Lytechinus pictus: one gene and its partners. The main gene of each other region encodes a partner of the protein of the gene in region 4 in a complex. Links are inferred from orthologs where the notes say so. Each region holds a gene or a part of one and is shown on either strand. Other genes may lie near its edges. The genes, in order: pre-mRNA-processing-splicing factor 8, SNW domain-containing protein 1-like, spliceosome-associated protein CWC27 homolog and U5 small nuclear ribonucleoprotein 200 kDa helicase-like.

What was found.
Region 1: the proteins of U5 small nuclear ribonucleoprotein 200 kDa helicase-like (region 4) and pre-mRNA-processing-splicing factor 8 are in contact, whole or in part, in a cryo-EM structure (PDB 7OS2), measured with the Homo sapiens proteins. The link is inferred for Lytechinus pictus from reciprocal best matches to the Homo sapiens genes SNRNP200 and PRPF8. Residues at the interface, in NP_054733.2 of Homo sapiens: Pro543, Met544, Arg545, Ser546, Thr570, Gly571, Thr589, Glu591, Lys592, Ile595, Arg624, Arg728, Lys729, Glu773, His786, Ala787, Thr814, Glu837, Tyr992, Thr1008, Ser1010, Ile1012, Leu1041, Glu1042, Arg1043, Val1044, Pro1045, Ile1046, Pro1047, Val1048; in NP_006436.3 of Homo sapiens: Trp2073, Arg2074, Ala2077, Ile2078, Ala2081, His2084, Asn2109, Lys2113, Tyr2168, Glu2171, Met2172, Arg2266, Leu2268, Gly2269, Phe2270, Gln2276, Arg2287, Leu2298, Ala2299, Asn2300, Glu2303, Glu2307, Arg2310, Pro2311, His2313, Phe2314, Leu2315, Asn2316, Phe2317, Ala2318.
Region 2: U5 small nuclear ribonucleoprotein 200 kDa helicase-like (region 4) and SNW domain-containing protein 1-like share a complex: the UniProt entries of both Homo sapiens proteins name them as parts of the minor spliceosome. The link is inferred for Lytechinus pictus from reciprocal best matches to the Homo sapiens genes SNRNP200 and SNW1.
Region 3: U5 small nuclear ribonucleoprotein 200 kDa helicase-like (region 4) and spliceosome-associated protein CWC27 homolog share a complex: the UniProt entries of both Homo sapiens proteins name them as parts of the minor spliceosome. The link is inferred for Lytechinus pictus from reciprocal best matches to the Homo sapiens genes SNRNP200 and CWC27.

Annotation. Positions count from the first base shown.
Region 1 is NC_087246.1:34,397,189-34,404,169, reverse strand, and holds the start of pre-mRNA-processing-splicing factor 8, read right to left. Parts: upstream 3,015-6,981; 5' UTR 2,913-3,014; intron 1-2,912. UniProt on the Homo sapiens protein: Plays a role in pre-mRNA splicing as core component of precatalytic, catalytic and postcatalytic spliceosomal complexes, both of the predominant U2-type spliceosome and the minor U12-type spliceosome.
Region 2 is NC_087251.1:28,641,109-28,648,820, forward strand, and holds the start of SNW domain-containing protein 1-like, read left to right. Parts: upstream 1-4,706; 5' UTR 4,707-4,973; coding exon 4,974-4,990; intron 4,991-6,538; coding exon 6,539-6,599; intron 6,600-6,980; coding exon 6,981-7,058; intron 7,059-7,712. UniProt on the Homo sapiens protein: Involved in pre-mRNA splicing as component of the spliceosome. As a component of the minor spliceosome, involved in the splicing of U12-type introns in pre-mRNAs.
Region 3 is NC_087255.1:26,595,325-26,603,038, forward strand, and holds the start of spliceosome-associated protein CWC27 homolog, read left to right. Parts: upstream 1-4,703; 5' UTR 4,704-4,821; coding exon 4,822-4,863; intron 4,864-6,959; coding exon 6,960-7,169; intron 7,170-7,714. UniProt on the Homo sapiens protein: As part of the spliceosome, plays a role in pre-mRNA splicing. Probable inactive PPIase with no peptidyl-prolyl cis-trans isomerase activity. As a component of the minor spliceosome, involved in the splicing of U12-type introns in pre-mRNAs.
Region 4 is NC_087256.1:3,906,587-3,914,096, forward strand, and holds the start of U5 small nuclear ribonucleoprotein 200 kDa helicase-like, read left to right. Parts: upstream 1-4,505; 5' UTR 4,506-4,601; coding exon 4,602-4,646; intron 4,647-7,510. UniProt on the Homo sapiens protein: Catalyzes the ATP-dependent unwinding of U4/U6 RNA duplices, an essential step in the assembly of a catalytically active spliceosome. Plays a role in pre-mRNA splicing as a core component of precatalytic, catalytic and postcatalytic spliceosomal complexes.

The DNA of each region.
Region 1 (6,981 bases), on a different chromosome or scaffold from region 4:
TACACTGGCGCTACAGTACATGTACATACGTACACGAGCGATCGCGAGCCAGCCGACTCTCGAGCTAGATCGCGCTGAATGCATGCAAGCTTCGGACTGACTCGGCCAGGACTCGGCTTCAACTTCAAACCAAATAAACAATGAGTTGTCAGACTAAAATAGGCGACTTTTGTCGTCGCGATCGGCGACCAGAACTTGAACAAGAGTCAAGAAAAAGAAATGCCGAGGCCAGCGCCAGTATATCAAGTTCAACCAGGACGCTGTTTATACTTTATTTGTTCTATTTGCACGTTTGTCTTGATGTATATTACATGTATGTTATTTGATGATATGGATCTCTGCATATGCAGCTGTGTCTGGATTAAAGTCTTGAATTGAATTAAGAGCAAAAGAATTTTTGAAAAAAAATCGGGCAAGCAGTTTTTTCTATTGGTCAAGCAAATTTTTTTATCACTTGCCCGACAGGGCAAGAGATGAAAAAAATTCTTTGAAGAGGCCTGGTTTACCCCCTAAATGCGGCTGCCCGATCGCGAGCCGTCTGGGTAGAATGGGGGGGTCGGGTGTCCAGACAGTTTATATTCTTGAGGCCTTCTTTTTTGTCTTTGGATTGCACTAAAAATATGAATTCGATAGTTGTAAACATCTTCTATTTTGTTCTCTATGATGGTGGGCCCCAAGTCTGCGCACCTAACAATTTGAGTTAAGATTTAACATGAATTTCTTCTTATTTCACAAAATCTTTCAGTTAATAATGTTCCTTATATTATTATTAAGAGTAAGTGTACCAAATTTCTCGTTAAAAAATGAAAGAAAATATAGGATTTTCTTGAAAAAACCTCGGGCAGTCATTTTCAGATTAAAAAAAAAGATACTCCATGTCTGCGCACTCATTCACTTTGCACAATTCGGGGATTTTGATGAGAAAGGCTGCATTTTGAGGCCATCACATGAAATGCCCTAAATTCCTTATTTTTCCACCATTTTCAGTCGGATTTTTTTATGAATACCTGTCTATGTATTGCATTGCATGTTTAAACTTCGTGCTCGTTGCGTATCTTCTTTTACTAGAATCGCGCAGATACGCAGACAAGGGGGACTGCGCAGACTTGGGGGAACTTGCCATATAAAATATTAATATTTCCTAACATTTTGTAATAAAAATTGATGAAACTTCACTTGTAAATTTTTCCAAATGACGTTCTAAATTGATCGTCCGGACACACAACTGGGTATACTACTACTACGACGTCTACGAGAAAGTACTCACACAACATGCGAGGTTAGTATATTAACCTCGCACAACGCATGTCATTTCATAATGAATTTTGACGTTTTCATTCATCACACGAATGTGAGAATATGAAACACGCCTAAATCTTCACAATATACTAAATTTACTTATTTAGTAATCTTAATCATATAGCCTAGGGCCTAAGGCTAATGTAATCTAATTTTAAAAATCAGCACGAACTTATCTATAAAAATGGATTTTAAACGCTTACCTCCAAATCTCAGCCAGTTACTCCGTCCGATCCTTAATACTGCGGTGGAAATTACGCAAACAACAATTGAAATGCGAATTTTTCCTATCGAACAGTCTAGATTCAAGTCGAGAACCAGCGAATCGGCCCCATGCCTGCTTCGACATCAAGAAAAATCATTGATATAAAGTACCAGAAAGACAGAGAGGAATTGAAATTGGCTTCATATCGTTTGGTAAGTTTCATATCCAAAGACCAAAGTTTATTTAATTTGAAATCTGTAATGTATTGCTAATTTAAAAATAATAAAGGTGTTGCAAGTGGGATGGGGGATCGGGTGTCCGGACACTTTATATTTTTGAAGCCTTCTTTTTTGTCATTGGATTACACTACAAATACGAAATCAATAGTTGTAATCATCTTCTATTTTGTTCTCTATAATATTTCCTGACATTTTGTACTAAAAATTGATTGATTTCCTTGTAAATTTTTCCAAATGACCAGTAGAGGCGCTGGTCCAAAAACTGGGATTGTCCCAGAAAACAAGGATATCCTCATAAACCAAGACAAATCATGTCTTGATAAATTGAGACTGTCCTTGTTTATGGGGACGTTTTTTTTTCACTTCTCCCTACGGGACAAAGACAGCAATTACGGAAATTGAGAGTGCTAAAAATAGATTCAGTGACCTCAATTCCCCCCAGTTCGCCGTCTAATTTTCATGACTTACCGTCTTCCAATAATCTTGTTATGAAACCTGATATGTTTACATTGACTAGCACACTTGATTGGTGTCGGCACTTGACAGGTGAATGAACTTTCCTAGATTTCTAGTGTGAAGAAATCCTTATAAACTGAGACAGTCCCTGTATTCTGGGACGATCCCAATTTTCTGACCGGCGCCTCTACTGATGACTTTCTAAAATTGATCGTCCGGACACACAACAACTGGGTATGCCGTGCCAGTGGTTATCCTGTGGCTGTGCACGGCGGCGGTAATCAGTACTGGAGTACTGTACTACTGGTAATGTACCCGTAGGTGACGAGAAATAAGAAATGTTAAAAACTCCTCGAAACAGACGGCTGCCAGCTGTTTAACCCCCCCCCCCCCCAGCTTCCCCACGGCCCACAAGTGTCACAACAATGTCGCTCACTCAGTCACTGACACACTGGCGTGGCGGCATAACAATACATGACCGATTACAACATCCATATTCCACTCCATTCACTCACAATACAAATCGTCGAGCTTCGCTTGCTTTCTCACTGCACTCCCGAGCTCCCTGCTCCAGCTCTTGAGGCAACAAAATTACATCAAATGATATATGGCAAACTAGGCAAACGTGGTAAGATTCAGATCTAATTCTAAGAATAAATTGTGAATTTATATGGTCTCACTTTATTAAAATTTGGAGTCTAAATTCTACTCACTCTTTCGTAATCTCGAACAAGACGCAACGTAAGTGTTACCAAACGCAGAGGGCGCGCGACTTCTATGGCCACCGCGCTGAGTCGAGTGGGCATTCCGCAATTGGCCGCTCTCTCGGGGATCAAAACTATTTGTTTGCAAATGATGTCATATCGGATTTTTTTCTGCGGATACACCTTCAAAAACAAAAATTGTTCAGATTTGGATGGACCTATAGTGGGTCGAAAATAACGTAGGCCTAACCAAATTTTAAACTGTATTTGGCTAAGTTGCCAACTAATTTCTGTGTAACTTTAGTTTTATTTTTGATGCACTCAAGGAATTATTGGGGGCGAAGCGCTATGCTTGCCCCCCCCCCATATTTTCGTTGGTGGGGCGATCGCCTTCCCCCCTGTCCCCCCAAGATCGACGCCTCTGTTTGTTTGATTTACAACTGTATCACACCCTTTCCTAAAAAGAAAACAAAAACAAGTCATCACGATCGAACCATTAAAAAAATGAAATTTATGCGTTTATATTACAAAACATATGGGGCAGCTGCTCGTTTATGACGTCACAAAGCTAAAATTTAAAATTCTAATAACTTTCTTAATCTTTAATGGATTTTACTCAAACCTTCACCAATATTTTCCATTATTTTTTTCTGCTATTTTTACAACATCTGATCATCTCTCCCACAGGATGTAGACATGACGAGATCCAAGATCTTCCCATCTGATCATTTCTCACACAGGATGTAGACATGACGAGATCCAAGATCTTATCATCTGATCATCACTCCCACAGGATGTAGACATGATGAGATCCGAGATCTTGCAATCTGATCATCTCTCACACGGGACGTACACATGACGATGATCTAAGAATTTGTCTGATCATCTCTCCCACGGGATGCAGACATGACGAGATGATTATATTATGGGTGGCACTTTCCCGGGCGGGGGGCCCTTCCATTGACGAGTGGATCGATACCATGCGCGACCATGGGGTCTCGAAAAGCACCCTAAACAAGTATTTCCATATTCTGAAAATGCACCCCTTAACAAGTATTGGCGTGTGAAACCCTACCCTTAACAAGTATATTGGAAACAAAACGATACTTATCCCTGAATTGAACACCTAAACAAGTACAGCGATATTTTAATTGTTATGTCACGTACGGACGTCGGTCGTCGGTTTTACCTTTACCTACATCATTGGGTTTAGTACGGCCCCACCTCCCATATCTCGCGCAAATCGTACTAAACACGTAGTGTTGACTGCTGGGACAAAGAGTGACATCCTTTATTAAACATCTTAGTCTGAATTGTTTATACCCTCCCAAATTTGACCCTAAACACGTGGCTTTCCTAGCGAAATAGATACCCCAGGCTTTTTTCATTATTTTAGTGTTTTGACGACACCCTTATTACGTTACGTACGTAACGCGCCCTATCTTTTTACGTGTTTTTTGGGTCGCAAATGGTATGCACTCGTCAATGTAAGTGCCCCCCCCCCCCTGGGGGGGCATGCACTTTTAAACTTCCATATAGGCCTATTTCTCTTTCTGTTTATGGTAACTCCCGTAGGAACTCGACAGGACAGCTTTTGCTGGTAAACGCCGAGCTGGTATATAACCAATTACCTAGCAAACATTTAACGTCTAGGTTAATCAGTCATAGTGGCTGACGGTATAGACGACAGATATTACTCTCGGGTCTTTTTTCAAAGTGGAGACAATGGCAGAGTGAGGATTCGAACTCACAACTTCGTGATTATGAGTCCAATATGCTCTAACCACTGAATAACACGACCCGTTAACTTTTGCAAATTTCAAAATTCTGTTTTGCCCCATCTTCCTCTAAAGGTAGGCCAATAATAAAGTCAACAACCCAAGACCATATGCGAATCCAGGGGGCCGAGGCCCCCCCCCCCCCCCCTATTGGCGGAGAGAAAAAAAGAAAAAAGGAAAGAAAGAAAAAAAAAGGAAAAGAGAGGAGACAAAAGAAGAAGAAACATAAAAAGAGGAAGACGAGTGAATAAAATAAGATGAGGGGAAGACTTGAAAAAAATTTTTTTTTAATCTTTCATGTCACTATATAACTTTTTCGCTCGCGCTTTGCGCTCGCATTTTAGGTGATTTACATATCTTGTTCAATATGGAGCTTAACATATTAATTTTGAAGTCAATATACAAAACATATTTCAGCTCGGAAATCGAACTTTCTTTATTTTTGTTCGATTTACAAATTGATTTTTAAAAATTGCCCTGTAGAAATGTCTGTTTTATGGTCTGAATATTAACATTTTCTGCTCGCGCTGCGCGCTCGGAAAATTGGATTTGTCAGGTAACTATTATTTTCCTGTATTCCATAAAGTTCTCAAAATATCCCTATTCAGGTCAGATTGTCAAAACGTATCAGCTAACACTGCACACTCGCATTTTGATTGGTGAGTTAAGTGTATCAATATTAATTCTATAACAAACTAATGAATCCCCATTTCTTGACAGTTTATCAAAAATTTCGGCTCGCGATCTGCGCTCGCATTGATTGTTGAAAATATATTAACTCATGCATCTTATTCATAATTACATAAGTGATTTAAATGTCCAGTTTTCAGGCCATAATATTAAGAGATTTCGCGCTCTCATTAGTCTTATTAGATTAATGAATAAGATATTAATTTAATAATCAAATTGTCCCTTTTTTCAGAATGGAATATCGGCAAGTTTCATCTCGTGCTTAGGAAGAAATATAGGAATATAGTCATCATTTTCATATGATGACATAATGTTCTTAGAATGTCCCGGTCCTATGTCAAAACTCAAGTAATAATAATGAAACATATCAGCTCCTTTTTTAACTCTGATCCATATCCACCTCACAAATTCCCTTCAAAGTGCTTGAAATACAGAGCTTGAATTGATCCTTTTTATCAGATCGGAATATAAAATATTTTAAGCTCGCGCTTCGCGCTCGCTTTATTGATTTTCATGATAAAAAAGGCATTTAGAATGCCCAGATTCTAGGTCGAAATCTGAAACACGCCCACGCATGTTTATTTAGATACGCTGCCTGTACTCTATTTAAATCATTATCAAGTTTCAGATCGCAGTATAAAAAAATTTGCTCGTGCATTGCGTTCGCATTATTAATGTAGGAAGATTTCAAATTACTCATCATTTTCATGATTTACCAAACATGAATAGAGTGTCCCATTTTTAGGTGTGAATCTCGATTTTTTTTTTCCGCTCGCGCTCGCATCAATTGTTTTGTTATATATACTTATCCTTTTCACGATTACAAAAAGTGCTCAGAATTTTTATTCATCGGGTATATAAATGTCAAAATTTTAAGCTCGCGCTTCGCGCTCGCATTATATTGATTGTTCAAATATGTAACGTCTTCATGGCTAACTGCAAGCAGCCGTTAACAGATCCTTTTTAGATCAGATCAAAACGTATATTGAAAATTATCTAATATTGTTGAATAAGCATCCAGTGGCGTAACAGGCGGGGGGGGGGCAGGGGGGGGCAAGTTGCCCCCCCCCCCTGGCGAATTTCACCGGGAAAATAAAAAAGGGAAAAAATAAAAGAGAGGGAGAAAGAAAGGGGAAGAAAAGAGGGAAAGGAAAGGAGGAAAAGGAAAGAGAAAGGGAAAAGTGGAAAGAAAACAAAAAATATATATTTTTTTTAAATGGATGTCCTTTAAATGGAAAAGGAAGGAAAGCGGGAAGAAGAACAAAAGAAGAGCATTTGAGAAAGAACAAATCATTCCGAAATAGACCTATGTAGTGCAATAGCATGATGGGAAAGATCACAAACTGACAAACAATAGCGGGAAATGAAGGTAGAATGGAATTAGTCAAAAGCTAAATTGGAAAACAAAGAAAAGGCACAAGAAATAAAAACTTAATAACACGACCGGGCTGACGAGGATAGATAATAAAGAGCGGGAAGAAAGATGGACTGCATACAACATTGTGCTATTAGCTTGCTCAATTTTATGCAAATAAGCTACCGGGGCTTAGCCCCAGACCCCAAGCAGTAGGGGCTCTTCATCTATGACCTTCAAATGGCTCTATTACGCC
Region 2 (7,712 bases), on a different chromosome or scaffold from region 4:
ACTGTTCAGATACCCATCTTGTAAAACTGATTAGAATGTCTAGTGTCCAGTTAGGAATATCAAAATTTTTAGCTCGCGCTTCGCGCTCGCATAATTTATTCAGGAAGATACCCATCCTATTCATAGTTAAGTGCACAAAATGTATCGTTTTAGGTCTAATTTTTTAGAAAATTTCAGCTCGCGCTTTGCGCTCGCATCAATTAATTATTCAGTTAAAAACAAATTTGTTCATGGTTAGTAAAAGTGCTTAGGATATCCAGTTCTTAAGTCGGAATATCAAAAGTTTTAGCTCGCGCTTTGCGCCCGCATGACTGTTTAGATACCCATCTTGTAAAACTGATTAGAATGTCTAGTGTCCAGTTAGGAATATCAAAATTTTTAGCTCGCGCTTCGCGCTCGCATAATTTATTAAGGAAGATACCCATCCTATTCATAGTTAAGTGCATAAAAATGTATCGTTTTAGGTCTAAATTTTTAGAAAATTTCAGCTCGCGCTTTGCGCTCGCAATTATTATTTTTTATATAATTTTAGTGTAAATTGTTAGGCAAGTGTAATTAAAAGTGAAGACTTTTTGGAGGTGGGGCTTGTCAAATTTTTGTAAACAAAATGTCCCCCTTGAAAATCCTGGATCTGCCCCTGGGTTGGATATAGATGAGTACTGTTCGTCGGACGTCAGTAATCGGTACTGATATCTGTCGGGTAAAGGCCTAGCTATACCCCTGCTTACACATTCCTCTGGTTATTACTGTCCCCCTATCTATCCTATGTACCTGATCCCTTCGTCCGCCTATCTATCTTTTCCAATTTCAATTCCCTCAACCTTCTGACATTCCTGCCAGTGAGTGAGTGATTTTCCCCATATCTAGTGATATATCATGTTACTGTCGCATATATTTTCACGTTCATATTTATTTTTTCATGAGTGGATGGATGCGTTTATTTTTGTTTTAATTGTGTATATGGAAATAAAACAAATGCAAATCAATACATGAATACAACTGATTTCAATGTCAAATACCTCTTTTATAACGTCTCCAAATGAGCAGAATTGGGAACATAATGTAAACACCTTCAAAGAGTAATAAAGGAAGTATTTTGATATAAACATTGCAATTACCACTTGATTAGAAATATATCGATCACGATCCAATACATTTCATTTCTGGAATGATATACAGAAATAATAATAATTTCGACAATAAAGTGCAATCGCCCGATAGCAAATATCAGTAGTAGCAAGATCCCAACTGTTTTATTGGGCATCCCCTGGGTAACCTTTCCCACATTCAGTGCCACTTCCAGACCTACACATCCAAACGTGTATGGAGGGGGGGGGGGGTTGCAAAATGCAGGGCAACCGAGGACTACGAGGTGCCCAAAAATCCTCGTGTATTGGTAATTTGATGACCGAATTTATAATTTCTGCAAGTTCCATATCATGTACAAAGGCTAAATAATAATTGGGAAAAAATGTTCGCTCGCTTCGCTCGCTCGAAAATTAAAAACTGTGAATTTGATATTTGGGCAATGATTATCAGCCCCCCTTGAAAACTGTGCCTATACGTCCATGCCTACTACCCCCCGCCTTGCTTATTTTTGTCGCTTGTCCCCCCCCCCCCCTGACGAAATATGCCAGGTACGCCACTGTCAGTAAGTCATAGGACGATAGTTCTCCAAATCGTCATCTGAACATATTTTATTGACAGGTATACTATTAACAACCATCATACTATCAGGGACAATGATACACTGAAGAGATAAATTTTATTTATATGCGTCAAGGGATCCATAATTTCACGAATACGACAAGATCACAGTGACATAATGAGAGGGGGGATATGGGTACGACATGTGTGTGAAAAATATTTCTTATAAGTCCTGAGTGAGAAAGTAGAGCAACTGAAGCAGAAAAATTACCTTTTTGGAATGAAAATCTAATTTTGTAATAGATTTTTACATAATATTCAGAAAACAACATCGTATCTTACCCCTTTTCCTTTCCTTTTTTTTTCTTGGTGGTGGAACTTTTGGGAGCCATGACCCAAGCCCCCCCCCCCCCCCCCCCATATCTGCGTCAGTAGAATTTCATGACCCAGGTCCCCCTTTCACAGTTTCAGTAACACGTGTTTATCGTTTTGTTTTGGGGTTTTTTACAATTGGCACACCTGAAGTAAAAAAGATTCACAAAAACTTTACATTGGTAATATATTCTGTTTTCCCCAGCATTAGGAAAATGCCCTGAACAGAGTATGATAAACCTATTACATGTCTACATAGGAAGTAAATAAAAGAGCATACCGAGAGACCCTATGTATGGGATTTTTCAACATAATCATAATGTGCAAAATAATACAAGAGTACTCATATTTTCGTTAGAATAACAATCATTCAAAATTCATATAGGCCTATATATTTGGAAAGCGATTTTCAAAACAAATCATCAAATAAATCTGAGCCGCCCTTTTGAAATATCAACATTATAATTAAAACATGATTAATTACTGTAAAATGACAGATGAACAAAACTTTGGACGAGAAAACCAAAACATTTTTTTTTCTTCAGTGATCTTGTATTGTGGTGTGAAAGAACTGTCCAGTGGTATAGTATATGAGTTACACTGGAGTTGGGGTTTTCCAAAGGTAACTTTATTTTCGTATCAAAAGGAAAAATAAAGGGGTATAAGCTATCCCTTAACATTGCTTGCCCCATTCAATCTTTTCATATGCGATTCAGCACCGTACTTATGGGATTAAATATTTTCTTTATCACTCCTCTTAATTTGTTGTTTCACCTTTCTTTTTTTTGGTCACATCGAAAATAACAGAAACTCTTGAACACCATTCTAGTGGGCATACTAGCAGTCCCTTTCACCTTTTTTTTGGCGGGGGGGTGCAGTGGGGGGGCTAATGTTAAAAGAAAAATGAATAAAAAATAGAATTGCGATATGATTGTTTATTGGTGTGGATGCAAAAAAATATTTGGTACATGATTCATATGGATAACATTTGAAGGTACAACTTCAAAATATAAAGGTGAATGAGAGAGGGAGGGAGAGAGAGAGAGAGGGAGAGGGAGAGAGAGAAAGAGAGTGGGAGAATGAATCGGGGGAAAGGGGTCAGAAAGAGAAAACCAAGAAGGAGAAATTTGGGTGTCATTGATTTCGTATGAGCCAAATCCCGACTGCTCGATCTCCAAGAGGAAAAAAAACAAGAAAATAATGATCTGCTTAATACATCGGAACGGCATGTCTAAGCGCTTTACAGATATATTATTACCCCGGTCATCGGATTTAATCAGTCATTCCCGCACACAATGTGTGTATATATTGACCCCAAACAGGGACATTTTAAGGACTATAATTTAGGAATCCATTAAGAGTATATATATGTATCTCACCATCATCTAATGCGAGTGCCAAGCGCTTGCTGATTTTGTTAGAATAATATACATCTTAACACATGAAGCACTTGTAGTCATTGTCATGATTAACATACGCATCTTACTAATCAAATATTGCGAGCGCGAGCTGAAAATTTGGGAAATTCAGACCTGAAGAGAGGCATTTTAAGGCTTGTTTGTAGGAATTCACGAGGAAATACGTACGTATTTCACTAACCAAATGATGCAAGCGCGAAGCGCGAGCTGAAAATATATTGACCCCAAACAGGGATATAATTATATTAAGGACTATTTTTTTAAAGGAATCCATTAAGAGTACACATATCTCACCATAGTCATCTAATTCAAGTGCCAAGCGCATGCTGATTTTGTTAGAATTACATCTAAACACATGAAGCACTTTTTATAGTCATTGTAATCATGATTATCATACGCATCTCACTAATCAAATATTGCGAGCGCGATGCGCGAGCTGAAAATTAAGGAAATTCAGATCTGAAAAGGGGCATTCTAAGGCCTGCTTGTAGGAATTCACGGAGACCATGCGTATTTCACTAACCAAATGATGCGAGCGCGAAACGCAGGCTGAAAATTTTTGATATTCAGATCAGAAAAAAGGACATTTTAAGGACTGATTTTAGGAATTCATGAAAAACAGACATATCTCACCAATCCACGAATGCTAACGTAAGCACGGACAGGAAATGGTTTAGATTAAGACCTTAAAATGGGGGCAATCACTTTAAGTAGCCATGAAAAAGAAGCATAATATGTCACTACTTAAAACAAGAATTCGACGTGCGAGGAAATATATTTGTTGTATATTGATTTGAAAACGGGAGGTTTTAGTACAACAGGATTATATATCTTGTTCAACAGACAATGCGAGCACCAAGAACAATGAAGACATAGGCCCTGCGCAAATTATGTTTCATAAAGTTATGATTTTTTAAATGTAATATAATATAACATAATTATAATATAATATAACTTTATAATTAACAATAATTCCTTCTTTCCCCACTACTTTTCTCTCCCTTTCTCCCTCTTTTTCTCCTTTCCCCGTTTTTTTTTTGGCCAGCCGATTGTGGGGGGGGGGGGGGGGTACGTGCCCCCCATGCCCCCCCCCCCGTAGTTACGCCACTGGTGGCAACTGGCAAGTATGAATTAACGCCTATTTTTTTTTTTTTTTTTTTTTTAATATGTACCGGTATATGTGATCGGAATATATATATATTTTTTTAAACAAGTGCACACCTAGTTACCAATAATGCATATAGCATTTCCATTTTTATTTGAAAGCAGGATAAAAGAGCATTGTAGATTAAATGCCTTGCTCACGGGCATAGGCGCCGCGGCCGGGGATCGAACCCCGGACTTTCCATGTATAGCCTGGCGCCTAGACCACTCGGCCACGGCTGTTGTGATCGGAAATTGGCACGTCTCCCTCTAGCGTTAGAAGACATGCATTAAAAGCCTATGGCGTAGCGAGCTTTCTGAGGAGATTCGACGACAGCCGATAGTTTGCCCAGAGATTTCTGCATTGTATCCAAGACTTTCGTCAAATTTACTATGGTGTCACTTGCTGAGTGAGTAGATTATTTACAAAATTTATTTCATGATTGGGTTATTGGTATTTTTTACAGTAAAATCAATTGCTAGACGGACGTGAGACTAAGTAAGAGTGGCGAGTGTGAACGGTGATTGTGAATACACAGGGGGCCGGTGCCGTTACTGGCGTGTGTAATTTCTTATGCACACATTTCCAGTGGCGATATCACAATTCTGTGACACAGTAATGCTCATTGCACAAGAGTTACATGTAAAACCCAGGGTAGAGCTCAATATTTGTGTGAGACTTAGTGAGTGGAATCTAACAGTGACTGAGTGTGGTGATGGCAATGTGTGTGATAGCAGACAGGGATTCGTCTGCCGGAATACACTTTTTGATTGTGGACTTGTGTCTTGTGTGGGCATTAACTAGTCTATCCACTTGCACGCTGCAACCATCCTGCCTGTGCCTGTGGGAAATCTACAGGTAGGAGTCGGACCAGTGTTTCCTAAGCTCCAAAATAAAATTCCCGAAACTGAATCCCAAATTTCCTGAAATTCATAGATATTTCCTAGAATTTTCAAATTTGATTTTAAACAAAATCGGGCAATACAGCGAGCCTAATAATTGGTCCGGGTGGCCAAAATCAAGGAATTTAGCATTTTTTGTTAACGCCCTCTTTAAAAATAGGAATAAAATTACCAAATGCGAGTGCAGAGCGCAAGCAGAAAATTTTGAGCTATGTATGGAGGTAAAAAATTCTGGCCTGAATATTAATAGTTGCTAGGTAACCAAAACCCAAGAAGAGAAGCAATCTTATTGGAAATTTAGGTAAAATGAGATGAACAATTACAAAAAAAAGTTTCATCAAAATCGGTTATGAAATAAGCAAGTTATGGACATTTAAAAAGTCTTGTACTTTCTATAGGGATCCTCAAATTGGCAAATGTGCTTCAAAATGTCTGAATTTGTGGACAACTCTCCATTTGTTTTGTACACAAATTTTCAGATTTTCCCCTTTATTTTACATTTTTCACATCTCCTGACCTTGACATATGTGGTGTGAATTTTATTTTCCCAAGACATATGTCGTGCTCAGAAGGAAGCAAGCTGCAATTTGAAAGATAATGAGGAAAATCTGAAAATTTGTGTACAAACAAATGGAGAGTTGTTCACAAATTCAGCCATTTTGAAGCATGTTTGCCAATTTCATAGTAGTTTTTAGAGTCAGCACTGCTGCTATATTGAATTGCGTAATGCAGGTGAGACTGCCAGAGGCGCTCCACTTGTTGACCATTTTTCATCATCTCTATATTCAAGTTCCCTTTGGAAGAATGTTGCAAAGTTTGAGCGTACAAAATCATTTTCTCACGCGTATGATGCGCGTTGGGTAAAACAAGGCCGGTCGGTAATACAATCACTCACTATACCATGTGATGTGACAATTGTTAGGGTTGCGTTGACAAGTCAGACACATTTCTGGGATTTTAACAAATGTTGCTGCAAGCTTCTCCTGCTTCATCTTTCCTTGTTCTTTTCTATCAAATACTAGCAATTGACTAAAAAAATTATACTTTTTCCACAGCATCCTACCTAAACCCAAGCAATGGGGGCAAGAAGATGAGGTAGACCTGAGAGCCAAAGAGGTAAGCAAATGAACATTCCTACACGTATTTCATTTTAAATAATTACAATAGTACTAATAAGGCCTGTTCATAAACATTTTGTGACAAAGCTCAGCAACCCTTTGTACGATGTCAATGGGGTAGGAGTTAAAAAAAGAATGTTGCAATAACATAGTGACCTGTTTTTGAATGTGTTGCTTGCAACCGCTAAGAGACAGACAAATAGTGAAAATTGAAAAAAGTTAAGATATGATGATTTACGCTGTTTGACAGACTTACTCATGATATCATTAAATATAATGCTGGAATGTGACTTTTATGAACCCATTCTCTTAAGTTTAATAATAGGATGTTGTATTAAATTAATAAATTTGCACTATAATGTTCCTCTTTCTTTTTCAGTTACGTGTGGTTTCTGTATCAAGGAATGCAGCTCCACCGTATGGTCATCGGAAAGGATGGGTGCCTCGGTCATTGGCTGTAAGTACATTAATATATATATACCCTCCCCCTAAAAAAAAAGAGACCCAAACAAACAAATATGCAGCAAAGTTGAGAAGGTACATGTAGTTAGTCATTCATTCTGATTTCAATGAATGTACTGTAAAAAAAATTACAGATAAATATTGAAAGTGAGGGATACTTCAAGTGGGAAACTTAAAGTGGCGTAGAAAATATATTTTTTGTTGTGACATACCTCTGTTTTAGAAATGTGGAAAATTGCCATCGTAATTAATCAAGTGATATACAGATTTCATTTTGTACCACAGAACTATCATTTTCATTGCATCACTGCCTACAGCCCTTGCAGTATAAAGTTGTCCTGAGGACAAGGTCATTTTTTATAAAACATCTTACAACCACTGTCTGTAAAGGGGAAATTTGAGGAAAACGAGACAGTTAAGGTGGACTGGACATCCAAGGCAGTGGCATCATATCATTGGTTTAACACAAGCCCTCTGTCACCTACATGTGCATGTGGCAACTTTCATTCACATGTTGATATAGATGGCAATATTGCAACTTTACATCCATGACTTTAACATGGAGGATCTAGCTTCCGAGATAAAAATTCCAACTGTTACCATGGCTTGAATGAATCAGTATAAATGAATGAATGAATTAACTTTATTG
Region 3 (7,714 bases), on a different chromosome or scaffold from region 4:
ATTTTAATTACTTTCTTACGTGCAAATCAATGTAGAAAAGTTTGTTGACAGCAAAATTTGCATATCAAAAACACGCATGCAGTTGTACAATTTTGTAATGTACAGGAGGCCTAATGGGGGAAATTATGTTTACAGTATTGCCTTGCAAATAACATGATAAACAAATTACAATGCGTGTTTAACGCAACATAAAAGAGTTTCTCTTTGATTTTCTGGAAAACCTATAGACTTGACCCCCCCCCCCCCCCGGCTGAAATAATATACTGATCGGCTGAAATACTCTGTTGACATATCGCTGATGTTTAATCCTTTGATTTGACAAATTTTTATGTGAACAAATCAAGGATCGAATAATAATTAAGGTATGGAAGAAGGAGGAGAGGAGAAGAAACAGAGCGGGAGTGAGTTATAATTATAATTTGTACTATACTACAAAGAATATTATTACTACAACTGAGTGTATAAAACCAATTGATAACAAATATCCTGAGATACATCTATTGCAATCTTAATAAAACTTAAAATAAAAAAAGTTTTGCAAAATTGTGAGTACAAAAAACAAACATATTAAGCAATAATAGGCCTATTGTAAAACTGACAAATACTTGGAATAAGATAATACAATTATTGTTGGCTGTTGAGTGATCCTAATTTTAACCTCAAGTGATACCTGTCAGGGAGGGGTCCAGTCGAGCCCCCTGTACTTGTATACTTTTATTTTGATTGTGAATTTTCTTCCGGGTGCGTATGTCACTTTAATTACACCCCACCCCCTAAAAAGCGAATAAAATAAACCGATTCTAACTTAAATAGAAGGGTATTAAAAGCAAAAAATTTTGAACAATTTCATTTTCGGTGCGATATAGGCCTGCAGATAGTAGGGAATTTATCATGTTCCTATGAGAAAAAAAATTAACAAGTGCACCGAAAACCCAATAAAGTTTTACCATTGATGGTGTAACGGGAGGCTCACCATGATGTAAAATTAATAAGATGCCCTTTAAATACTCTATACCTTGCTAATAAAATAGTAATCAAAGATCAAAACACTTATACAAATTATTGTACATTTAAAACAAACTAGTATATACTTAATACAAATTAATGCAAGTTTCATGCAGTTGGTCATTTGATGCTCAATTTTATAGGCGTACTGGTTTTTTACGAGATAAGAATATTCATCTGTAAAATTGTAGAGCCTATCCGATATATATTACTTTGTATTATGTTTGAATGAAAAAAAAAATGAATTGAGGTGAAGTGAAACGAATAGAGTTGAAATGAATTAAATTTACAAAATTATATCCATCGTAAAAAAATTGGTCATGAGAACACGGAATCAAGTGGACGAAGGAATGTGCCAAAGGATGATGTATCATTAAAGCCAAAGATAGGGAAGTCCGGAGAAGATGGGCTAAATCACTGTCTTTTGAAATGATTGTCAAAATTTACTTTTAATGTTGTATGTTTTATTTTTTCTACTTATTTATGTCATATTATCAATACTGTTATATATTATTATCTATAGGCCTAACAAAATACAGGCATCAGTGGCAGGTAATCGTAAATACACTGTATAGAGAATTTCATCCCGAGAATCCAGATAAAAAGACAAATTAATAGCAGAATTCCCATGTAATCACACTAATAGTTTATTGAGATACAATTTGTCTTTCATATTTTCAATTGTAATGAGGTTGGATTCGTTTCTTCAAGATAAAAGCCGGAGACAGCATCCCTTTTCTCAGCGTTACAACGTACGAGCTATGTGTACATCCGGGTACTTTTGCGAATCTAGACCTATCGAGCAATGGCCGACCATGCTCCGCGCAATCACAGACGTTAAGTACGCGCGCCTATGGCGACTCCGCACTCTAGCGTAATTAGTATACATCTCTATGGTTTGGTCCGATCCCGGGATTTCTCCTGCTGAAATATGAAACTATATATTCCGAACTTGCCTCTAATGGTATCTTTAAAAATTGATTGAGATAATCATTATGCAAACAAGACTCGAGGATTTTATGAACGAGAAATAAAATGATATCAGAAATGAAAGGCATAATGCAAAGTTATGAAATTGTTTTCTGGAATAATATATAAAACTTTTATAAAGATATTGTCGGCAACGGGGTCGGCAAGACGTTTACTCAGTTTTGACAATGTTCTTAGATAAGTACCTGGCCATCTCCCTCTATCCACGCTTATTTATATTAATTATGGGGGGGGGGGGTGGGTTAAAATAATTATTAGAATGTTGCAGTCCGCTTTGTGAACAGGGGGGGGGGGGGTTGTAGATTTGCACATCAAACACAAGATGGTGCAAAAGATAGCTATATCCAAGTAAAATGGTTTGAGTGCATGCTGTCTTCCCAGTACTTAAATGGTGAAGAAAGATGTTCTAACTTGAATTTGAGCACCGTGCAATTTTAAAGTGTGCTGAGAATTGAAACTTTACTGTTCGAGATTTTTATCACATTTGCCTATATGCGTACATTAGCCACAACTAGAGTTTAAATTAAACCTGAGTTCAGAAATCGGATCATTGACTTTGAACCGGACTCCCGGCTAAGTATATTCTATTAACTTGGATTCATGGAGGGCTCTGAGAACGAGGGGATGCTTGCTAAAAAAAAAGGTTTTCACTACAAAACGAAGGTCATTGTTGTCACGAGGAGAGAAAGAAAAAGGTTTAGCAAAAAAAAGTGACTTGGGTTCAAATAAATTTTCAAAAGCAAAAAAAAAAAGTTTTCACTACAAAATGACATACTATATAGCCGATTACTTTTCTAGGGGGTGTTGCCTATGGCGAATAACCCATGCTACAGCACCCCGCTTCCCAGGGCCATGGATTCGGATTGGTCAAAAGTTGATCACGCAATGCGACATATTTACTTCATCAAAGTCTTGCGGCGATGGAACTTCTATTATGCATTCGCTTAGTAACCGTATGCACATCCCAACACATCACTTTCTTTTTTCCCCATAAAATGCAGAGTCAGGAAGTTCACCTCAGAACAGGGGCGGCAGAACCGGGGGAGGGGGTAGCTAGGGGACACTGTCTTGCCCCCCCCCCCCAAAAAAAAAAAAATCTTTGGCTCGCTCTTCGGTCTCGCTCATCAAATTGGTTAGAATTTCCAGTTTTCAGGTGGGAATATCAAATATTTTGGGGTCGCATTTAGCACTGTCTCGCATAATTGTTAAGTAAGGTCCTCATTCTGTTCCTGATTACAAAAAATGTTTATAGGATGTCCAGTTTTCAGGTTGTAATATTACAAATTTTCAGCTCGCGCTTCGTGTTCTCATATTTACCAAAAAGCAAGTTTTACAACTTCAGATTTGAATTTTTTTCAAAACCACTTGCTCTCTCCGCTCTCTCGTTGAAAAAAATAAAGCCTAAATATACATCTTATCAGTCAGAATCATTTTGAAAACTTTGCTCAAATTAATTGTTACAAAACACACAACTGCTCCACGATGATGATATTCTCATGTTGAAAATATACACCGTCCTTTTTGGCTTTGCCCCCGGAAATATACGCTCCGCCGCCCCAGTGCCTCGGAAGAACTAGGAAGATTTCCAATAATGGCGTACAGATGGGGGGGGGGGGGACTTGGAGGCACTTGCCCCCTACCCCAAAATTGTCATGACCAAAAAAGAGTAAAGAAAAGGAAAGGAAAGAGTTAATGTATTAGTTTCCTAATGCTAGATAAAATCTCTCACAAAATTTGATAAAAATGTCAAAATGTTTCCTCGCTCACAACTTTTAATAAATTTTGCCTGATGCGCTATGTCTACCCACCTAATTATTATTTTTTTTTTGCTATTTGTCTCATTACGCCACTGTCTGGGACCTCCACCAAGGTTAATTTTGTCGACCCAGGGGGAATATTCAATAGTAACTAAAATCGAAACCAAACTCAGTCCAAAGTCATTTTGATTGATATCAACCCAAGTTAAAACTTAAAAAAAAAACCACAACAATAGCAATTCAATATGAAATATTATCTTTAAGTGCTTTTAACAAGAAAGAAGATACAATGTGCTGGTATCATTTTCTGCTATTTTGTTACAGAGTTGGAATAGAATGTATATCATTTTGTTTTAGTGTCAAAGAATTGAAGTTATATACATAAAAATACTGAATATTAACAAAATCACTAAGAAGGTAATGGCAATGTAATTAACAACTAGTGAATAAAGGCGGATGCCGGGTGCCGATGCACCCACCCCCATTTGAGATGCAAAAAAAGAAAAAAGAGAAGTAACCCCCCCCCCCAAAAAAAAAGAGTATAGCCAAGGGAAAAAACACAATCAGAGGGTTACATTTTTGTAAAAGTTTGTTGAAAAAAGGTGGGGGAGGGGGGCTGGGGGTCAGCCCCCTTACCCATCCCTGTTCAGCGGCCCCTGTTTAATAAAATACATCTCATATTCAAGGGAATTAAATGGTGCTTGAAATTTCCTGTTTAAATTCATACTTGCATCACGGCTCCCTGCAAAAAGTCCTTCAATAGTCCATTTTCATGTCATTGTATTTAAAAAACCCTTTTCTTCCAAAAAAGCTCCTTCTCATTCTTTCGGTATTGTGGGCGTGTGTGTGTATGGGGGGGGGGGGGGGGGGGGGAGCCCCGATGCTGCAATAAAAATGTTTATAAAAAATGGTTTTGGTTATAACTTAAGATACCATAACATGCGAATGTGCAATTACGAAAAGTTGATCGAATTCTTCAGTTACCAAAATAGAGCCTGCTGGTGCTAAAAATGGAAATGGAAAAGTAAAACCTGAATTTGACAAAATATTTCAATATTTTGACTTCATAATGAGTAATATATACATCCAAGAGCCACCAACCAATGGGAAGGTAATGTATTCAAGCGTTATGATATTTTTATTGCATAGTTATTTCGTCTGATCAGTGTGACTACCCTGTCCGCTGGATGTTGATGTGTAGTCCCATACGTCTGTTGGTGCGTGGGTTTTGGTCTAGTAATGTAATTGAGGCTTGCGCTTTTGAAGTTTTGTTGAGCGCGATTGGCTGCCGACACTCACACACATGCGAGGCTAGTATTAGTCTTCAGGACGCAATGATGATGACTTTAAAATCCTGACGTATACTTCATCATTGACGTCTTGACACTCTTCCCATTGACGGTCAAGTCAATCTTGACGTTCATATGCCATAATAATCAATATAATGATTGTGGGCATTAACGGAAAGACAAGACAAGATAGTCAGACATAGAGTGATAGACGCATAAGATTAAGAGACGGACCAAAACAAAGATGGATTTCCCTAGGAAATCAATCTTTTAAGACCAAAATCACGTAAAGTTTATGAATATTATTGAATTTTACACCTTCCTAGTTCCTACGCCTAATTCGTAGGAAGGTTTTAAAAAATGTTAGATCAAAATGTAAAAAAATAAAGGTTTCTTACCTAACTGATGCCGCGTAGACCCCTCGATCCACATGTAAACAACGGAAATGAAATAGCGTCGACCCTTGAACCGCTTATGTATGACGTACTTGCTGTTTTGAGGAACAATTTATAGATAAAAATTATTATTTCACAAATAGTAAAATTTATAACATAGGCCTAGGTTTTGTTATAATATTAATTTTTTTTTTTGGTCCGTCTCTTCTATGGGAAGAGTGTCAAGACGTCAATGATGAAGAAGTATACGTCAGGATTTTAAAGTCATCATCATTGCGTCCTCAAGACTAGGTTAGTATGCTATACCACTCATTCAATGATATAACCTTGTTCTCTGATAGTGATACTACTCCCTGTGTAGTAAAATAGGCCTATTTTGGGCAATGTTTGGCTTATTTTCAATTTCTCTTTCTTTGCCAGTTTTGCCTTTTTTGGGACAAATTGAAATGCTTGATTTTTTTTTACACATTCAGTTTCCATCCAAATTAGAGTAAAGTCCCCAAACATCGGATGGTTCCAAATATCAGATGAAAATTACTTCAAATCTCTCCCCATAACTACAGAGAACCTGCACTGGCAGGGGACTTGCATGCACAAGATACATGAACATACCTGTTATTGAACAGCACACACAGTCATGACAGTAGATCCAAGTTGCTGCTCCAAAAAAAATATTCCAGGGGTTAAATCTATGGATAGTGATCTCATTCTATTTTCTGAATCGAAAACCAAGTTTGTATGATCCGTTTCTGAATATCTCGCCATAAATAGAGTCTCAAAGTCAAATAAGCATACCGGTACATGTTTTAATCACAATTTGTGAGCCCTCTGGTGAACAAAACAAAAAGATAACATCTCTGAATATGCATGGACACATGCATGGTGTGACACCTTTTTAAAACTTATTCTAACATTTTTTTTTAGAGGAAAATTTAGTCTACCACATAGGGTAGTGTAAATGCCTACTTTTTACATGTCATCTTTAGCACTTTTCACTTACAGCCATTATAATGTTCAATCCTTGCATCTGTTTGACAAGACACTTTCAGGGTTCCCAGCCCATCAGGGAAATCATGGAAAATTATGTAATTTTTTCCAGTCAGTGAAAAATTAGGGAATTTGGTAAAAAATACCTCAAATCAGGGGAAAATGCCCCAAATGAGGGAAAAATCAGGGAATTTTGATCAGCCCAAAAGTCGAAAGCACGGTAGTCAGCCAGACTCTGTTATATTTTGTTGCATATCAAAACAACATCCATTGAATGACTTGTTATGGTGGTACTATTTAGTTTCACATTATTTTTTATACTGAAAATACATGTAATTCATTGCAACAACTTAGAAAACATGCGAAACTGGGAATGGGTTTAAATAATTATCAGGGAATTTTTAACTTCATCAGGGAAATATCAGGGAAGTTTGTTTTCTTGAAAAGCTTGGAACCCTGACTTTGTTCTAATCTCTGCTGATTTTTTTTTACTGATTTTATTCAACTAATTTTTTTTGCTGAAACTGATTCACCAGGTTCTCCTCAAGACATCATGTGGAGAGTTAGACATAGAGCTGTGGTCCAAAGAGGCGCCCAAGGCATGCAGGAACTTTGTCCAGCTCTGCATGGAAGGCTACTACGATGGCACCATCTTCCATCGCATCATCAGGAACTTCATGGCGCAAGGAGGGGACCCCACAGGAACAGGTGAAGGGGGAGAGTCCATCTATGGCCATCCATTCAGGGTGAGTGATGGGGCATGTTGGGGGATGGTAATAGTAAAAAAAGATGATTGAGTATTAGAGGATGGGAGAGGAAGAGGATGGGGAAAGTAGGGGAGGCAGAAGGAGAGGAGGCAGATGAATAGAAGGATGGGAGAAAGAGGAAGAGAGAAGAGGGAACAGGCCAAGGAAGAAGTGGATATGAGGGGATCAGAGCAGAGAATGGAGGAGGAGTAGGGGAAGAAAGGGAAGGACGAAGAGGAGAAGAGATGGAGGAAGATAAGAGGTGAGGATAGGGAGAGGAGACGATGAGATAAGAAGGAGAGCGAGGGGAGATGAGTAGTCAAGGGAGAAAATAAAATAAGAGGCAGGTGGATGAAAGAAATGACAATAAGGATGAGGATTAGGAAAAGTAGGAAGAAAAGGCGGAGAAGATAGAAGAGAGGAAAAGATATGAGAGGAGAGGAGAGTTAGAGAATAGGAAACATTGAGGAGGAAAAGGAAAAGGCATAGCATGAGGAAGAGAGAATGGAAAGTGGGAGGATAGGAAAAGAAGGAGAAAAAGAGCA
Region 4 (7,510 bases):
TCTCTTATTTGTTGAAGCTCTCACCAAATTTATTCGCATTCAATCAAGTACTAGCGAGGGATATTATTAATCAATATTAACAAGATAAATCATTTTACAGCTTAGGATGTGATTGTTCAAGATCAATGAGAATCTTTAAATCAATGTATTTATTGTTGGTATTGGGGTGGCTGGACACATATAGCAAGTATTATAAAACCAAGACATGATCATGGAAAGCAACTGCAGTTTGAGTAAATAAAAATATACGCTATAATACAGTTTAAAATACGTTTATTTTCAGTACTGGCAGGCCTAGGACCATGATAAAAGATACTAAAAGTTGGCAAGTACTGTGTGATAACGGCATGCATTCTTATCAAGTTTTTGCACAAACATTTACAAAGACTGTTTATGTTTATTCTTTTAAAAAACCTCCATTGAAACTTGCCTCACCTCCTTTTAAATTCGCTTCACCATAATTTGTAGTACCATGGGTGTCGATCACGGGGGGGGGGGGGAATATATCCCCCCCCCCCATTATTTCAAGTGGGGGGATGGTCTGTATTTTCATCCCCCCTATAATTTAGGGTAGAAAAATTATAATAATGATGATGAAAAAATGAAAATTTGATCATGATGATTATATGCCATCAATCAGTTTGTTTCCCTCGCAATTTGTGTATATTGTTATTAAATAAAAACATTCTTTTCCATGACTTTTAAACAGATTGATGGAGGTTCAAGATGAAAAATAATGAAATGTTTATGTATATGATATTTTTAAATACATGACATAAAAAGACCCCGACGAAAAACAACTTTTGTTGATAGGTGTTCCATCCCACCAGTGGTTAATAAATTAATTTTAACAAATCAATTAATTCAAAAGGGTGTATAAATAAACGGGAGTAAGAGGGTGGCAAGATCAACGGGGAAAACCCCATGGACGTAAATCCCAGAGGGGTAGATCTTGAAAAAGTACAAATAACTTTTCTCAGATTTATCCCTCCCCACATCCAAGTGCATGATGTTTGTCCATCCCATTTAATCTACAACCCTTTGCCTGGTTATATACCGATGTATGTCATGGTAGTATTGTTATATATTATGTTCGGCATTCAGTAAACCTTTGAACATGAAATTATACCAAAAGGAAGATGTGCACAAAACGAATGTCACCTCTACTTGTGTATACCTTGACTTGAACGATAAGTTTTGGTCAATAATATTTTGCAGGAGAGCATTGATGTCCTCATTACCTATCTAAACTCCTCACAAAAAGTTTGGAAATCAGTTTGGCTATTAATTTCTCCCAACTCCAAATTTTACACAATGCATATTTGACGTCATTCAAAAGATCACTTAATTCTCTGTCATCACGAAAAGAACAGGATTCAAAAGTGTTGGATGAGGTCTGAATTTGAAAGCTGCAAAACGAGCAAAAAAAGTTTGGAAATCTGAGTTTGGCCGATAATTCTCCCAACTCATCACCACGGAAAAAAAACCAGTAACTTTCAATATTATGTCATTGTGCAACTTTTGAATTTTGACCTTGCCCCACATTTCAAGGCACTGCACCTCCATGTGAACCATAATCATATCATGTAGGGTATCATATTAAAGAGAATTAGATGATCTATTCAGTGATATTACTAACATATTGATATACATGTATATTAAATTTGAGGAGGGATTATCGATCAAAGTCAGATTTCCAAACTTTTTTTGAGGAGTTTATGTGGAAATGAGGTGCCTATAGTCATGAAAGAGTGAGCCCATATCACTTTTAAAAAGTCATAATGGTCGTGTGGTGATCAGTAGCTCATGTGTATGGTGCTTTTGTTGTATGCGGTTGGATGTAATTAATATCAAACATTTTATCATGTGACCCCATCAGAAAGAATAATCATTCATTTCTCTTTAAAGCGTATCTTCGGATATGAACATCGGATTTTTTCCATGTTATTCTTGTTATGGACTTGAATAACTAAACTTGATTGATTTTTTCTTATTTTGGCAAAAAGAAATCTCTTTTGAGTTTGGAAAGGGATGACAGGTTTGCAATCTATATGAGCACACTCATGCGGTACGTAAATTTCATTTTAACACATATATTAGCTGATATTACACACTGATGGTTCAAGAAAATGTTGGAGAAATATCATAACAGACAGTTGAGTTTTGATTGTTTTTATGTTTGTTTTTGTTTCATTCACTTACAAAGCATTTAAAACATGTTAAAATCCAGGGTTAAAATCGTCTAAGGAATGACGGTAAGCCCGATGGCGCACGAGCTAGAAGCCACAACGTTTGTAATTTGTGCTAGTCTTAATTTGTCCGAATCTGCATTTTATCATCATGCATTAAGAAGAAAAAAAATATTGCCAGTCGGGTTAGATTTAAGAGAGAAGTTGTATACATCATGCTCAATAAACAGATCACTTTGTACATGGTCCAGACAATTTTTGTCATTTTTTCTTTCGTATGAGCTTAGAACATGCTTACTTGTAACACAAATTGAATTTTCAAAAAAAATTATACATAATACAGTACACTGCAACAATGAAGGAATTTCCAAGAACACCATGCATATCAACCACTCCCAAATGTTCTAACTTGTGATTTTAGTGGGGGTAATGTTGAAAGATCCCCATCCCCAAGAACATTTGTGTCAATCATCCCCCCCCCCCAACCAAGAATACCGATTGACACCCATGTGTAGTACAGACAGTTTATTCTTTTTAAAAACCTCCATTGAAACTTGCCTCACCTCCTTTTAAGTTTGTAGTACAGTTTATTCTTTTTAAAAACCTCCATTGAAACTTGCCTCACATCCTTTTAAATTTGCTTCACCATAATACAGTTTATTCTTTTTAAAAACCTCCATTGAAACTTGCCTCGCCTCCTTTTAAGTTTGTAGTACAGTTTATTCTTTTTAAAAACCTCCATTGAAACTTGCCTCACCTCCTTTTAAGTTTGTAGTACAGTTTATTCTTTTTTAAAACGTACCTCCATTGAAACTTGCCTCACCTCCTTTTAAATTTGTAGTACAGTTTATTCTTAAAAAAAAAAACCTCCATTGAAACTTGCCTCACCTCCTTTTAAATTCGCTTCACCATAATTTGTAGTACAGTTTATTCTTTTTAAAAACCTCCATTGAAACTTGCCTCACCTCCTTTGTAGTACAGTTTATTCTTTAAAAAACCTCCATTGAAACTTGCCTCACCTCCTTTTAAATTGGCTTCACCATAATGCAGTCTATTCTTTTTAAAAACCTCCATTGAAACTTGTCTCACCTCCTTTTAAATTTGTAGTACAGTTTATTCTCTTTAAAAACCTCCATTGAAACTTGCCTCACCTCCTTTTAAATTTGCTTCACCATAATTTGTAGTACAGTTTATTCTTTTTAAAAACCTCCATTGAAGCTTGCATCACCTCCATTTAAATTTGTAGTACAGTTTATTCTTTAAAAAAAAACCTCCATTGAAACTTGCCTCACCTCCTTTTAAATTCGCTTCACCATAATTTGTAGTACAGTTTATTCTTTTTAAAAACCTCCATTGAAACTTGCCTCACCTCGCTCCATTTAAATTTGTAGTATTTTACGGTTATTCTTTTAAAAACCTCCATTGAAACTTGCCTCACCTCCTTTTAAATTGGCTTCACCATAATGCAGTCTATTCTTTTTAAAAACCTCCATTGAAACTTGATCACCCTCTTTTTTAATTTGTAGTACAGTTTATTCTTTTTAAAAACCTCCATTGAAATTAACTTAATGCCTCACCTCCATTTAAATTTGTAGTACAGTTTATTCTTTAAAAAAAACCTCCATTGAAACTTGTCTCACCTCCTTTTAAATTGGCTTCACCATAATGCAGTTTATTCTTTTAAAAACCTCCATTGAAACTTGCCTCACCTCCTTTTAAATTGGCTTCACCATAATGCAGTTTATTCTTTTTAAAAACCTCCATTGAAACTTGTCTCACCTCCTTTTAAATTGGCTTCACCATAATATTCACGTAAGGTATATTCATTCTTTAAAAAAAAACATAATTGTTCACTTCACTCTACTAGATCAATTAGCTATATATAATACCTTTTATTCTACTCTATTCTTCCCTTTAAAAAAAAACCTGATTGTACTCCTGCCTCCCCTGATCTGACATTTGCCTCCCAACGTACTGTACATATAGTGTTATTATCTCTTTATATCGGAAACTTCGTTTTACCAAGGAGAGAGTGATATCTCCTTGGTTTTACCGAATTGCACTCTCTCCGAAGCGGTTTGAAGTCTGTCTAGCATGGAATACTACCAGCCGATGGTACACACACACACACACACACTCACACACACACACGTTATTTGACAACTTGTCTCTGGAGCCAAAGTTCCTCGCATATAACTATCCTGTATCTGCATGCCTGCACGCAGTGTGTATTGAACACGCACGACCACGATCTAATGAATATTCATCGGCGAGAGTGACGTCATTTTACGAGTCTCCTTTCAAACTTGGTTCATAAGTGCCTACCCATTAAAATGCGTGAGTTCTACTTTTGTGAAAAACGTCAGTTAATCGTAAGATAATTCATCAAGAAGTACACTTTACTCTTTAGCCATGGCTGATGCTACGGCTAGGTCACTACAATATGAGTACAAAGCGGTAAGTGATATTTGATTTGTTTGTTTAAGATGTAATATCGTCCCTAGAGAATGTAGATTCCCAGCTCGCTTTTCATTTTTTTTGCAATTGGGCTTGGCACGCGCAACACTTGACTTTTCCCACCTATTGTAATCTGTGTAATGTGCTGTGCGGACAGTCTTGGGTTCTAAACTTCGAACACAATACATCATTTTTCGAATTCCAAGTAAATATGACAGGAAAAATCATGGTTCATGCTAATATAGACCCATTGAGCAGTTTACAAAAATTATTGAATGGAAGTTGGAATGGAGAGTGTTTTTTTTTTGGGATAAAACTCAAAAGTAGGGATGCCACCACAAAAATTGAAGTGTTGTAAATCTAGTATTAAATAGTTTTGACTGGAATAAGCTCTGAAACACGAGTAAAATGACACCAAGATCATAAAAAATTGGACCAGGGGTTGCCGAGATATGGCCAATTCAAATTTTGAAAAATGCCAAAATGGCAAAAATTTGTTTTTTGCCATTTTTAAAGCTATCTAAGTATTTTAAATCTTGATGAAGTATAGAGGTTGCTTTTCCTTGGGGCACCTAACATGTCAACCACCAACAAGTACCTGAAAAATTGGGTCCGAATTACTTTTGGTTTTCACAGTTTCATATTAACGGAGTTCAAAATATGGGGAAAACACATGTCACAAATTTTCACCTTTGGACTAGTGCTGTTGTCGGGAACAAAAATCCATGTTGACATGTCGCTTAAAAATTAATCCCGACATCGACAATGTCGACATGAAAAAGGGACTGTAATTTAGCCTAGGCTCCCTAACACAAAAAAAAATAATTCGATCGTGGAACATAACAGTAACACTCTCAATCAAATGTCTTCACCTTGACACGAGTGATATCCCCACACTAGATCTAGATCTATATAATACAGGCTCAGTTCGGGAAACATTTTGACTAAGCTAGAGTGAATTCACTTCCAAAATCACTGATTAATCCACATTTTTTTCTGGAGAATCAAGTTTTTGTACCACGATCCGGTCTCGAAAGCATTGTGCAATAACACTCGGAGCCAATTTGAGAATCAACCAATTACAACAGTGATCATTGCATATTATACGCTGGTACTCGTGTTCTGCAAACGCAAGCTCCTCAAATTGACCAAAAAAAATAATGAAAATCGACCGATAATTTCAGTATCACTTCCGCGGCGATCGGTGCAACGATCTCCAAACGAAGGAAGGGAAGTTTTCTGTGACTTCGTGATATGAAGTAAGTAAGCTTGTAACCGATTTTGCAATCGGCAACCGATTCCATTCGATTTCACCACAATCGGCAATCACTTGCCGATCTTCGATCATGCCCCTTGAAGGAAAAAATCGAAAATAAAAAATCGGCGTAGATCCGGTTACAGTGCGTGATCGCTCAGAACATATTTCAAGATTGTTTTTGAGGTGCTAGCTATTTAGAGGTCGCATTATTCAGGGAGAAAGTCGCGGTATTATCTATGGCAATGTTTAAGGGGATAGATATCTTCTCTTCCAACTCATGGTGATAGCGGATGCCGCCGTGAACTTTGAAAGGTCGTATTACCGACGGAGCTCACTGCGTTACTCTCTTACCCCCTTTATAATGATATAAATCTTCTCTTCAACCTCGTGGTGATAGCGGACCCCGCCATTAACTTTTAAAGACTGTACTATTGACGGAGCTTATTGCGTTGCTCTCTTACATCGTTTATGATGATATTCATTTTATTTTCAACCTCGTGGTGATAGCGGAAGCCGCCGTGAACTTTGAAAGGACGTATTACCGACGGAGCTCACTGCGCTACTCTCTTACATCGTTTATAATGATATAAATCTTCTCTTCAACCTCGTGGTGATAGCGGACCCCGCCAGAAACTTTTAAAGACTGTACTATTGACGGAGCTTATTGCGTTACTCTCTTACATCGTTTATGATGATATTCATTTTATTTTCAACCTCGTGGTGATAGCGGACGCCGCCGTGAACTTTGAAAGGTCGTATTACCGACGGAGCTCACTGCGCTACTCTCTTACATCGTTTATAATGATATAAATCTTCTCTTCAACCTCGTGGTGATAGCGGACCCCGCCAGAAACTTTTAAAGACTGTACTATTGACGGAGCTTATTGCGTTACTCTCTTACATCGTTTATGATGATATTCATTTTATTTTCAACCTCGTGGTGATAGCGGACGCCGCCGTGAACTTTGAAAGGTCGTATTACCGACGGAGCTCACTGCGTTACTCTCTTACATCGTTTATGATGATATACATTTTATTTTCAACCTCGTGGTGATAGCGGACCCCGCCGTGAACTTTGAAAGGTCGTACTATTGACGGAGCTCATTGCGTTACTCTCTTACATCGTTTATGATGATTTACATTTTATTTTCAACCTCGTGGTGATAGCGGACCCCGCCGTGAACTTTTAAAGATCGTGCTACTGACGGAGCTCATTGCGTTACTCTCTTACATCGTTTATGATGATTTACATTTTATTTTCAACCTCGTGGTGATAGCGGACCCCGCCCTGAACTTTTAAAGATCGTGCTACTGACGGAGCTTATTGCGTTACTCTCTTACATCGTTTATGATGATATACATTTTATTTTCAACCTCGTGGTGATAGCGGATGCCGCCGTGAACTTTGAAAGGTCGTACTATTGACGGAGCTCATTGCGTTACTCTCTTACATCGTTTATGATGATTTACATTTTATTTTCAACCTCGTGGTGATAGCGGACCCCGCCGTGAACTTTTAAACATCGTGCAACTGACGGAGCTTATTGCGTTACTCTCTTACATCGTTTATGATGATATTCATTTTATTTTCAACCTCGTGGTGATA